Linked DNA regions of Caenorhabditis elegans. The protein of the gene in region 1 purifies or fractionates together with the protein of each later gene. This does not show direct contact. Each region holds a gene or a part of one and is shown on either strand. Other genes may lie near its edges.

The links.
Region 2: the proteins of twk-30 (region 1) and rbm-34 fractionate together in Caenorhabditis elegans (co-fractionation; one large-scale study listed by BioGRID). This does not show direct contact.

The regions. Positions count from the first base shown.
Region 1 is NC_003279.8:8,808,207-8,813,293, reverse strand, and holds twk-30 (Fibronectin type-III domain-containing protein), read left to right. Parts: upstream 1-1,646; 5' UTR 1,647-1,661; coding exon 1,662-1,766; intron 1,767-2,055; coding exon 2,056-2,154; intron 2,155-2,201; coding exon 2,202-2,312; intron 2,313-2,356; coding exon 2,357-2,486; intron 2,487-2,530; coding exon 2,531-2,863; intron 2,864-2,915; coding exon 2,916-2,975; intron 2,976-3,021; coding exon 3,022-3,148; intron 3,149-3,194; coding exon 3,195-3,328; intron 3,329-3,379; coding exon 3,380-3,533; intron 3,534-3,578; coding exon 3,579-3,912; intron 3,913-3,962; coding exon 3,963-4,006; intron 4,007-4,049; coding exon 4,050-4,138; intron 4,139-4,181; coding exon 4,182-4,288; 3' UTR 4,289-4,329; downstream 4,330-5,087. Other genes in the region: phip-1 (Sex-regulated protein janus-B), read right to left, coding at 67-258, 324-413, 4,350-4,418.
Region 2 is NC_003282.8:12,083,460-12,087,783, forward strand, and holds rbm-34 (RRM domain-containing protein), read left to right. Parts: upstream 1-1,960; 5' UTR 1,961-1,963; coding exon 1,964-2,950; intron 2,951-3,000; coding exon 3,001-3,101; intron 3,102-3,249; exon of another isoform or gene 3,250-3,369; intron 3,370-3,385; coding exon 3,386-3,482; 3' UTR 3,483-3,564; downstream 3,565-4,324. Other genes in the region: lex-1 (Tat-binding homolog 7), read left to right, coding at 1-47, 419-557; repo-1 (Splicing factor 3A subunit 2), read left to right, coding at 1,019-1,575, 1,658-1,769; F11A10.6 (Transmembrane protein 115), read right to left, coding at 3,789-3,972, 4,025-4,324.

The DNA.
Region 1 (5,087 bases):
ATGTAATAATTTATTCGACCAATTTTAATACAAATTAATTACAAAACTATGCTCAAACATGGAGATTCAATATCCGTCATTAGAGAAATGAATGTTATAATCTGGGTATTTCTGCTTTAAAATGTCAACAGCAATTTGATGATCAGCTCGTCCATAGCCATACGAATATCCATACACAAGAATATCTTTTCCAATTTCATCGTGCTTGATTCGACCACCGCCCACACATTTCAGCTTTAAGTCAGATGGTGCAGAACTCTGAAAAAATGTACAATTTATTTCAAAATGAGCGATAGAATTTGTAATAGTTTTGAAAATACTACCTTCGTCTCCTGAAGAATATCGTCATGAAAGCTGCATCTATAATATCCGCGGACTACAAATTTCTGCTGCTTTGTTGAATTGTCGGTTACCTGAAATTATTTAAGATTTCCATAAATTAATCCCAATCACAATAGGATAAGTATCAAAAATTGATCTTGAAAAATGTTCCACTGGGAATTAAACATGGATTCCACGGATTTTCCCTCTTCTTTTTTAGAAACTAGCGGCCTCAAAGAGGAATAAAAGTGTGCATGTTCCATATCTCAAGGGACCGATTCTGTGTGATGGGCTCCTTCTTGCTCTTCGGAGTATCGCAGATATCTCGGCTCATTCTTCGCCCCGCTTATTCACGGCCTCCCAACAACTACACTTTCTAACATTTTGACATACTTGTAAAACTCATGTTTCGTTTTTGGAAGAAGAAGTAATTAATATTTAAACAAAGTTGAACCTTGTTTGAAATGATATATGCTCTAAAATTATGGCAATATTTTTAGTGTTAGATTAAATTGCAAAATGTAAAAGTTGGTGGAGCGAAAATGAGGATTTTGTTTGAAAATGTCAAAAACCGTGTAAAATTCAGAAATGCCACACAGAAAAAGCGAATATAAATCCCACTCACTCAATCGGATTGGTTCAAAAGTGTGTGGAGTAAATCACTGATTGGTTACAGTCCTGATTTTGGAGGGAATTCAAACAGTGAGATTATCGAAAATTTGAAAAACAACATGTTAAAAGTTGGTTTTTCAAATTTCTACATTTTTTCAATTTTTCATTTGTGGTATTACTAAATTTCAGATGATTTTTGAGATTTTTAAAGCAGCAAAAAGCGTTGCTAATTCGCTGAAATAAGGTGGTACAATCAAAATTTTCAACTTAAAACCTCAGAATAAAAGTTTCACTTTCAAGTTTTTTTGTTGATAATAACGCCAGAAACAAATAAAACTCCGGAATGCAATAAAACATCAATTTTTGAACATATCAAAATCCCTTAGAAGTATTCTTTCTTCAATTTGTGTACATACCTCAATTCTACCCAATTCGTATTTCCAGGTCCCATCTCATATTTCATTCCTTCCACTTTGTCCTCTACTTTTTTTCTTTCAAAAACTTATTGATTTCTAGTTTCCACTTTTCGTGTAGTTGGCAAATGATTCGGAGGTCCGACGTCTTTTTTTTCCACCCCGCCAAAATTTTCCGGCCCCAGAAATGATTGATTACCATATTTTGTGTTTGCAAACAAGTAATCCTATTGTCAGAATTATTGCATATACTCTGGAAAATCGTGCAGCAGTTTTCCTTCCGAAATGAGCATTTTTCAGGTGGAAAACGAAAAAATGGCCAGATTTCTATCATTACATGTACTTTTAATTGGATCTGTAGTACTTTATATTATACTTGGAGCTATTGTATTTCAAATGTTGGAAGGAGAACATCTAGATGTAAGTATTCAAATTTATATAAGAAAACTCATTTTTTTGGCAGAATTTTTCTGATTTCAATCCAAAAAAACATTTTGGACCAAAAATGGTTGATAAGTTTTTTGAAACAATTTTTCGTAGGTGGAGTAAAGGAGCAAATTTCAAAAAAAGTGTGTGGTTTTTTCTATAAATTATAGCAAATGGATCGCAATGACGAAATATAATTGTAAAAAAATGTAAAAAATAAATGATTTATTTTCACACTACTCCACCAAATACTTTCAAAAACTTGAAAGTTTCAAAATTGAAGGCGCTAAAAAAAGATCACATGGCAAAAATAGAACAAAATGCAAAAGACTACGTGGATAAGTTATGGAGTGTTGCAAAACGAGACCGAGATAAATACAAGGTTAGATGGATTTTTCAAAGAGACATTAAATATTTCAAAATGTTCAGAATGTGGAAGATTTGATAAAATCAGTAAAAGAAGATACTGTAGATGATTTCAATGATTACGTGGATACTGTATTCTATGCACATCGAGCTGTAAGGCACGGATATGATGAGGTGAGCATCTAGGAATTATTCTAAAATTGGAACATTTAATACAGGATTCACCCACTTGGGATTTTGCAAATTCGGTATTCTTCACCACAACAATGCTTACTTCGATTGGTTACGGGTATGTGGCACCAAGCACATTTGGAGGTCGACTTTTTGGAGTTATTTATTGCTTAATCGGTAGTTTTAACTATATAAAATTTTCTATGCAAATAAAATTTTAGGAATTCCGCTAACACTTGTTACTGTGGCGAACGTTGCAAAGTTTCTTTCCGAAACAATATTCTTTCTTCACTACGAACTATGGAACAAATGCCTTGAATGGAAAAGAAAACGAAAAGGAGAGGTTGAAGCAGATCCTCTTCAACCAATGTTTGGTGATGATGAAAATGAAGAAGAGATACTTGATCGTGTTCGACTGGTTCGATTCCCACCATTAACTGTATTTTTCTTTGTATTTGTATACGGATGCATTGCTGCATGGGTGGTACGGTATTGGGAGACATGGACATATGTAGAAAGTTTATATTTTATATTTATCAGTATTCTTACTGTAGGTAAGTCTATAAATATATCTATTGTAAAACTTGATACTAATTCTTATTTTAGGATTCGGTGATATAAGGCCTTCACCTGGTAATATCTGGGTCACTTTGGCATTTGTAGTAGGTACGTTGTAAAATTATAGAGAATTCAATCATTTGAAATATTACAGTGGGAGTTATTCTCACTACAATGTGTATGGACGTTGTCGGTAGAATGTATTTGAAAGAGATTCACTATTTGGGTCGAAAACTCAAGAGTAGTAATCCATTCTACTTGCTCCGAGAGGCAAAAGCCAGGTGAGAATAAGTTAAAATCTAAGTGGAAATTCAAATAAATTCTCAGAAGACGACGAGCAGCAATGGCATCATTACTTGCTCAGTTGGCAAAAGGAATGATATTTGCTCATAAAGATTATAACGAGTTGGCCAGGAAGAAATCGAAGAGAAAGAAGGAAAAGAGAAGAGGAAGTCATGTTTGTAAGTTAAAATTACTCAGCGAGTTATTATTAAAAATTCCAAATATTTCAGTGCCAAATGAGAAGTTCATGTTCGCCCGTCTGCCACCAGATCCACCAAGTGATTGCCAAGTTGTCAGTACGTCAGCATATTCAGTAAGACTTGCATGGGCTCCACCATTTTCTCCTGATCCAGACTTGACTTACAACATTCGTTATAGATTGAAGTAAGTATGAAATTTATTAACTCTACTTATGACTCATTTCCCCAGACACAACGAAGATGCAAAAGTACGCGAGCTTCGTGGAATTAAAGGGAATACAGTTGAAATTATGAGCGTTGATTCATGTTCCCTTTATGAATTCCGAATAACTGCTCATAATAAATTCGGTGAAAGTAAAGCTGTGTACTTGGTACAGTATACGGAACCTCAGTTGAGTCCTCAACATATTTTGGCAACACGATTAAATGCGAATACTATTGAGCTGACATGGGAGCCACCATACAAAAAATCACATGAAGTTAAGAATTACGTGGTTTACTTTACGGAAAATCCGAATGCGTCGTTATCAGAATGGGAGAAAATTCCAGTAAATGGAAGACGGGTAATCAAATTAATTTTTAGATGAGTTAAAATACAATTAAACTTTTGAAGGTGGTCTTCCCTGATCTTCGATTCGACTGGTTCTACATGTTTAGGTACTAAAATACTTTGAAATTGCATATTTGAATCTCATTTCAGCGCTACGGCAGTTTTCAAAGATGGACAGAGATCTCCATTATCTCGTGCACTATTTATCAAAACTGACAAGATAGAATTTCACAAGCATTGTAAGTATTGATTAGTTTTAATCGAAAATCTATAATTTTGCAGGCGTTGGCCATTCAAAAACAATCGATGTTATGGATTCAATTTGTGAGAAAGAAGATAATGAAACAACTGCTCTACTCAAACGTGATTATGTTTCTTTTGCCGTTTAATTTTCGTTCTTTTTTTTAGTTTCTAATTTTAAATAAATATTTTTTACTAAAAAAAACTAACTTGAATCAGGATGTACTTGAAAACTCCTTTCGGGTCGATATCCACATCGGCGATGTCAGCGAGCGGCATTGTGGCTAGACACCCTGAAATATTGATTTTTTAAATTAGTAAACATGTATTGAATAACGTACGCGAGACGCTTAGAAGTTTTTTGGCAAGAATTTTGAAAACTGAAAATAAAGGAAGTAGAATAGAAAGGAAGCATGGTTGAATGCGTTCAGAAGTAAATTTTTATAATTTCATTGCGTAGATTTATGAAAACCCAATGCTCTCACACTGTGATAAATACTTTGCGGTGAAATTTCACAGAAAAATTAATCTTGAAAATGATGGTTGCACAGAAACATTAGGATTCATCTTGATTTTGAGAAGCCGAAACATTTTAGATAAATAATATTATTTCAACGATTTTTCAAATATTATCCCATACAAATTTTTTAAATATAAACAGCTTTGTAATGAAGTTCATTTACATAATAAAATAGAAACAATAAATTTGTTGAGACCCGAAGAACTCGGGGGATGTCCAATTGGGGGGATTACCAACTCGGGGGGATTGGCCCCGCCCACAGAACCGTGGCTTGCAATACGCCCATTTCTGCAACTGCCGCACGGTTTCGAAACTGTATTTTTCTCAATAGAGCGAGAATTAACAAGAAAAATACAGTTTCAAAACCGTGCGGCAGTTGCAGAAATGGGCGTATTGCAAGCCACGGTTCTGTGGGAGGGGCCAATCCC
Region 2 (4,324 bases), on another chromosome or scaffold:
TTGGAACGTTTGTCTTCTGTTCTATCACATACAATTGAACGATTCCGGTGAGTTATATGATTTTTTATTACCTCGCTGTTCTTTTTGTTTGAACTAAAAGGAAATGTTAAGGATTTTTGGAACGTTTTAAAACATAGAAAACATTTATTATGAAGGTTGTTTATATTTTTGAAAATTTCAAAAATTGATAATTTCGTTATTTTGAAAAAAAATTGAAATTTTCAATAATTTCCGGTTAATTGAAAAAATTTCAATTCAATTGAAAAAATGCTCGTAATTTTCTGTACATTTCTTCGGCTTTTCCGTGATTTTCCTATTTTGATATTTTCGATATTCTCTGAAAAATCCCGAAAAAATTGTAGTCACAATGTAGAATAAAATAAACAATATTTATTTTTAACAATTAAATATTATTCAGGGACGAATGGAACCGCGAAAATCTACCAGCCCAACTTACCCAAATTGTACGTGAATGGCAAACAGCTGACGATTCGAACAATACAATTGTTAATGGAACCCTCAACAAATCGAATGGAAATCTTGCCAATGGACACTAAATGATGTCCCATCCTCCTCTTCCAATCTACCTCCGTTTATCGATTTTATAATTTCAAACTGAAATCCGTTTTATCATAATTTCCACCAGTTTTCCTCTTGTCAAAAACCCCTTTGTGCGAAAGAAAACTTTCAAAATAAGTGCGGCTACCGTGATACTCACCTATTTTTCTTTGTCCATTTTTATTCAAATTAAATCTCTACCATAATTAATTCCCCTCCAATTTATTCGAGTGAGCATTGCCTGCCTCTCGGGTGTATTCACGTGCCCTTCTATTATTTCATTAATCTTTTCCATTATCTTTAACCTGGTCTTTCGAAAATGAGTAAATTGTGAATCATTCGATGTTTAATGCTAATACCTATTTTTGTTTTAATGATCCGTTTAACTTCGGATATTTATATATTTTCGATTTTATTTTAAATTTATAATATATTCAATCATCTAAACTTTTTCTTTCAGATGGACTTTCAGAACAGAGCTGGAGGAAAAACGGGAAGCGGAGGAGTGGCTTCGGCCGCCGATGCTGGTGTTGATCGACGGGAACGGCTCCGCCAGTTGGCTCTAGAGACAATTGATCTTCAAAAGGATCCGTATTTCATGCGAAATCACATTGGAACGTACGAATGCAAGCTGTGTCTTACTCTTCACAACAATGAAGGATCTTATTTGGCACATACACAAGGAAAGAAGCATCAAGCGAATCTTGCACGGCGTGCCGCTAAAGAACAATCTGAACAACCATTTCTACCAGCTCCACAGAAAGCTGCAGTTGAAACTAAAAAGTTTGTGAAAATCGGACGTCCTGGATACAAGGTAACAAAAGAACGTGATCCAGGAGCTGGCCAGCAAGCACTTCTCTTCCAAATTGATTATCCGGAGATTGCTGACGGTATTGCGCCACGTCATCGATTTATGTCTGCTTATGAGCAAAAGATTCAGCCTCCAGACAAGAGATGGCAATACCTCTTGTTTGCTGCTGAGCCGTATGAAACGATTGGATTCAAAATTCCATCAAGGTGAGGCTTTACAACATTTTAGCACTTTTCTATCTCATAGTTACGATTAAAAAAATTGTATATACCAAGTAATTTTTTCCAGAGAAGTTGACAAATCTGAAAAATTTTGGACGATGTGGAACAAAGACACGAAGCAATTCTTCTTACAAGTCGCATTCAAATTGGAACGACTCGATGATCAGCCGTACTATTGATACTCTATGTTTTTATCTTTTTGATTTCAAAATTCAAAACAATTTTTTCGTGTTTTTCGATGATCTAACAATAAATTATTTTCCTTTTTTTTAATGATGATATTTTATTTAAATCAAGTATAGGTTGACTGATCCGTCTACAATGTCTATTCAATTAAAATTATAGTTTTCATAGTTTAAAAAATCAGTTTCAGATGGCGAAGAAGGTTGTCAAAAGAAAAGCTGAAGCAGTGTCCGCTGACGCAGAAGCCGTTGCAGAAGCTCCGAAGAAAATCAAGAAGCAGAAACCAAGTCTTCCAGTCTCTGAACCTGATAATTATCAGGCTGGTGGATTATCAAGTCTCTTCGGAAAGTCGTCAGAAGGAGCAGCAGTACAAGAGGAAGTTGTGAAGGGAGATAAAGTAATTGAAAAACCTAAAAGAAGAAAGTATGATCCAAAAAAAAAGGCTGAAGAAGAGAAGGCAGCTGATGCTGCTGCTGCTGCTGAAGAAGTTGCACCTGAAACAGAAGGAGAAGAGAAAAAAGATGAAAATAAGGAAGGAAAGCGAGACAGAACGAAGCAAAGAGAGAATAGAACTCTTCAAAAGTCAAATGCACGTGCTTCAGCTGCTGAAAATGCTCTGACTGTTTTTGTTGGAAATATGCCATTGACAATGAACGAGAAATCAGTCCGTCGAATTTTCTCCGACTTTGGAACTATTTCCTCTGTCCGTATGAGAAATCTGCTTCCTGCGAATGAGAAATTGACGAAACGAGTCACTCATTTGACAGGAAAATTGAATGACAAACAGAGTTCTCTCACGTTCTATGTGAAATTCGGAGCAGAAGAATCAGTGGAGAAAGCTCTGAAGTACAATGGAACCAAGCTGGACGATCATGTGATTCGTGTTGACAAAGTTGGAAGTAAGAAGAAAGAATTTGGAAAGGATATGGCCATTTTTGTTGGAAACTTGCCGTTCGAGATTACCGAAGATGCTCTCATTACTTTTTTCTCTGCACAAATCGGACCTGTCGAGGCTGTCAGAATTGTCAGAGATAAAGATACTGGAAAGGGAAAAGGATTCGCGTTTGTCAATTTCAAACAAGATTCTTCTGTGAGTCTTGCATTGAGCATGGAGACTATCAAAATGGAAAAACGCGACTTGCGCATTACAAAAGTTATGAAGAAGGGACATTTGACGGTTTGTTTTTTTTCTTCGAATAGTTCTTCAATTTATAATTTGTTTTTCAGAAGATCCAAACTGCTAAAAAGCGAACATCTCACGGAAAGAAGAACCAGAATGAAATTACTGGAAAATTGCACAAGTTCAAGTTCTCCACCAAAAAAGAAAGGTTTGTAAATATGTGGCATTTTGTCAAAGGGCCCGCGCGCGCAATGTCATTGCCCGGTTCTTCTCTATTTAAATCGTTCAGCGTAGCGCAGTTGGGTGTGCGTTTGTACTCGAGGTCGGCGCCCACGAGTTCGACCCCCACTGCTTGCACGACTGCAACCTGCTTTCGGAACTTTACCGTCTGCGGTACTTGTAGTGCTATATGAGCGTGGGCCCTCCGTGTGCGTGTAATTTAATTGAACTAGCACTCCGTTGGTCACCGGATAATTTTGTTTTTCTTTTCAGAACAACTGAGCAAAATGATCGTCGTGCCTTGAAGAAGTCAGCGAAGAAAGCCATTGCAAAGAAGAAGGCTGCAAAGAAGGGACGTCTGATGGCATAGGTTTTTGAATATTTTGTTTTCATCTATAACTTTGTTGATTTGTTTTGTTTTGTTATTTTTATCACTATAAAAACAGTTTTTTAAATCTAATATTTTATTCATCAAACAAAAAACTATCACAGAGAAAAATACAATAAATGCAAAAATTACTCACAGAGAGGGAAGAAGGCAATAAATGAAAAACACCCATGAAGAACAAGGAAGCAAAATGAAGCGAAAGAAAACATAAACGAGAGTAGTCGAAACTAGAGATCCAAGAAATACATAATTAATGAATGTTAATAAAAAAGGAACCCAAAAATCTATTTATGCCATTGATTCTTTGTCCATGGCTGGTTTTGAAGAATGTACATTTGATACAGGGGGCGGAGCAACTACAGTAACCTCAGTCGGCTCATCATCGTCACCATCGTCCCAGTTTCCGTAGCTGGCAACTTCTGCTGTTCGAGTCTTGTTCAATCGATCGTTCAACTCTTTCAATGCTTTTTGTCTGAAAAAATTAGCATTTTAACTGGAACAAATCAAAGAAATCAAATATTTACCTCCGTCTCTCCGAGTCTTTTGCAGAATTCTCCAGCGCAGGCAAGTTGATTCCAACGGATCCTGATTGTAGAGAGTGAAGATCAACATGACGAACTTGTCGTTTGCAGACGCCCATTCGAGCAAGGGTTCTGAAGCAAACTTTTCCAATGAGAGTGAAGAAGAGTTGAGTGCGAGACGGGAAGAGGCTGGCCCACGTGAAGTGCTCACTGCCGTCTCCATAGATTTCGTCAGTTTCATGGGGTTTGTAGAAGCGAAGATAGGTCCAAGAAACTTGAACACCGATGGTGATTTGGAGAAAT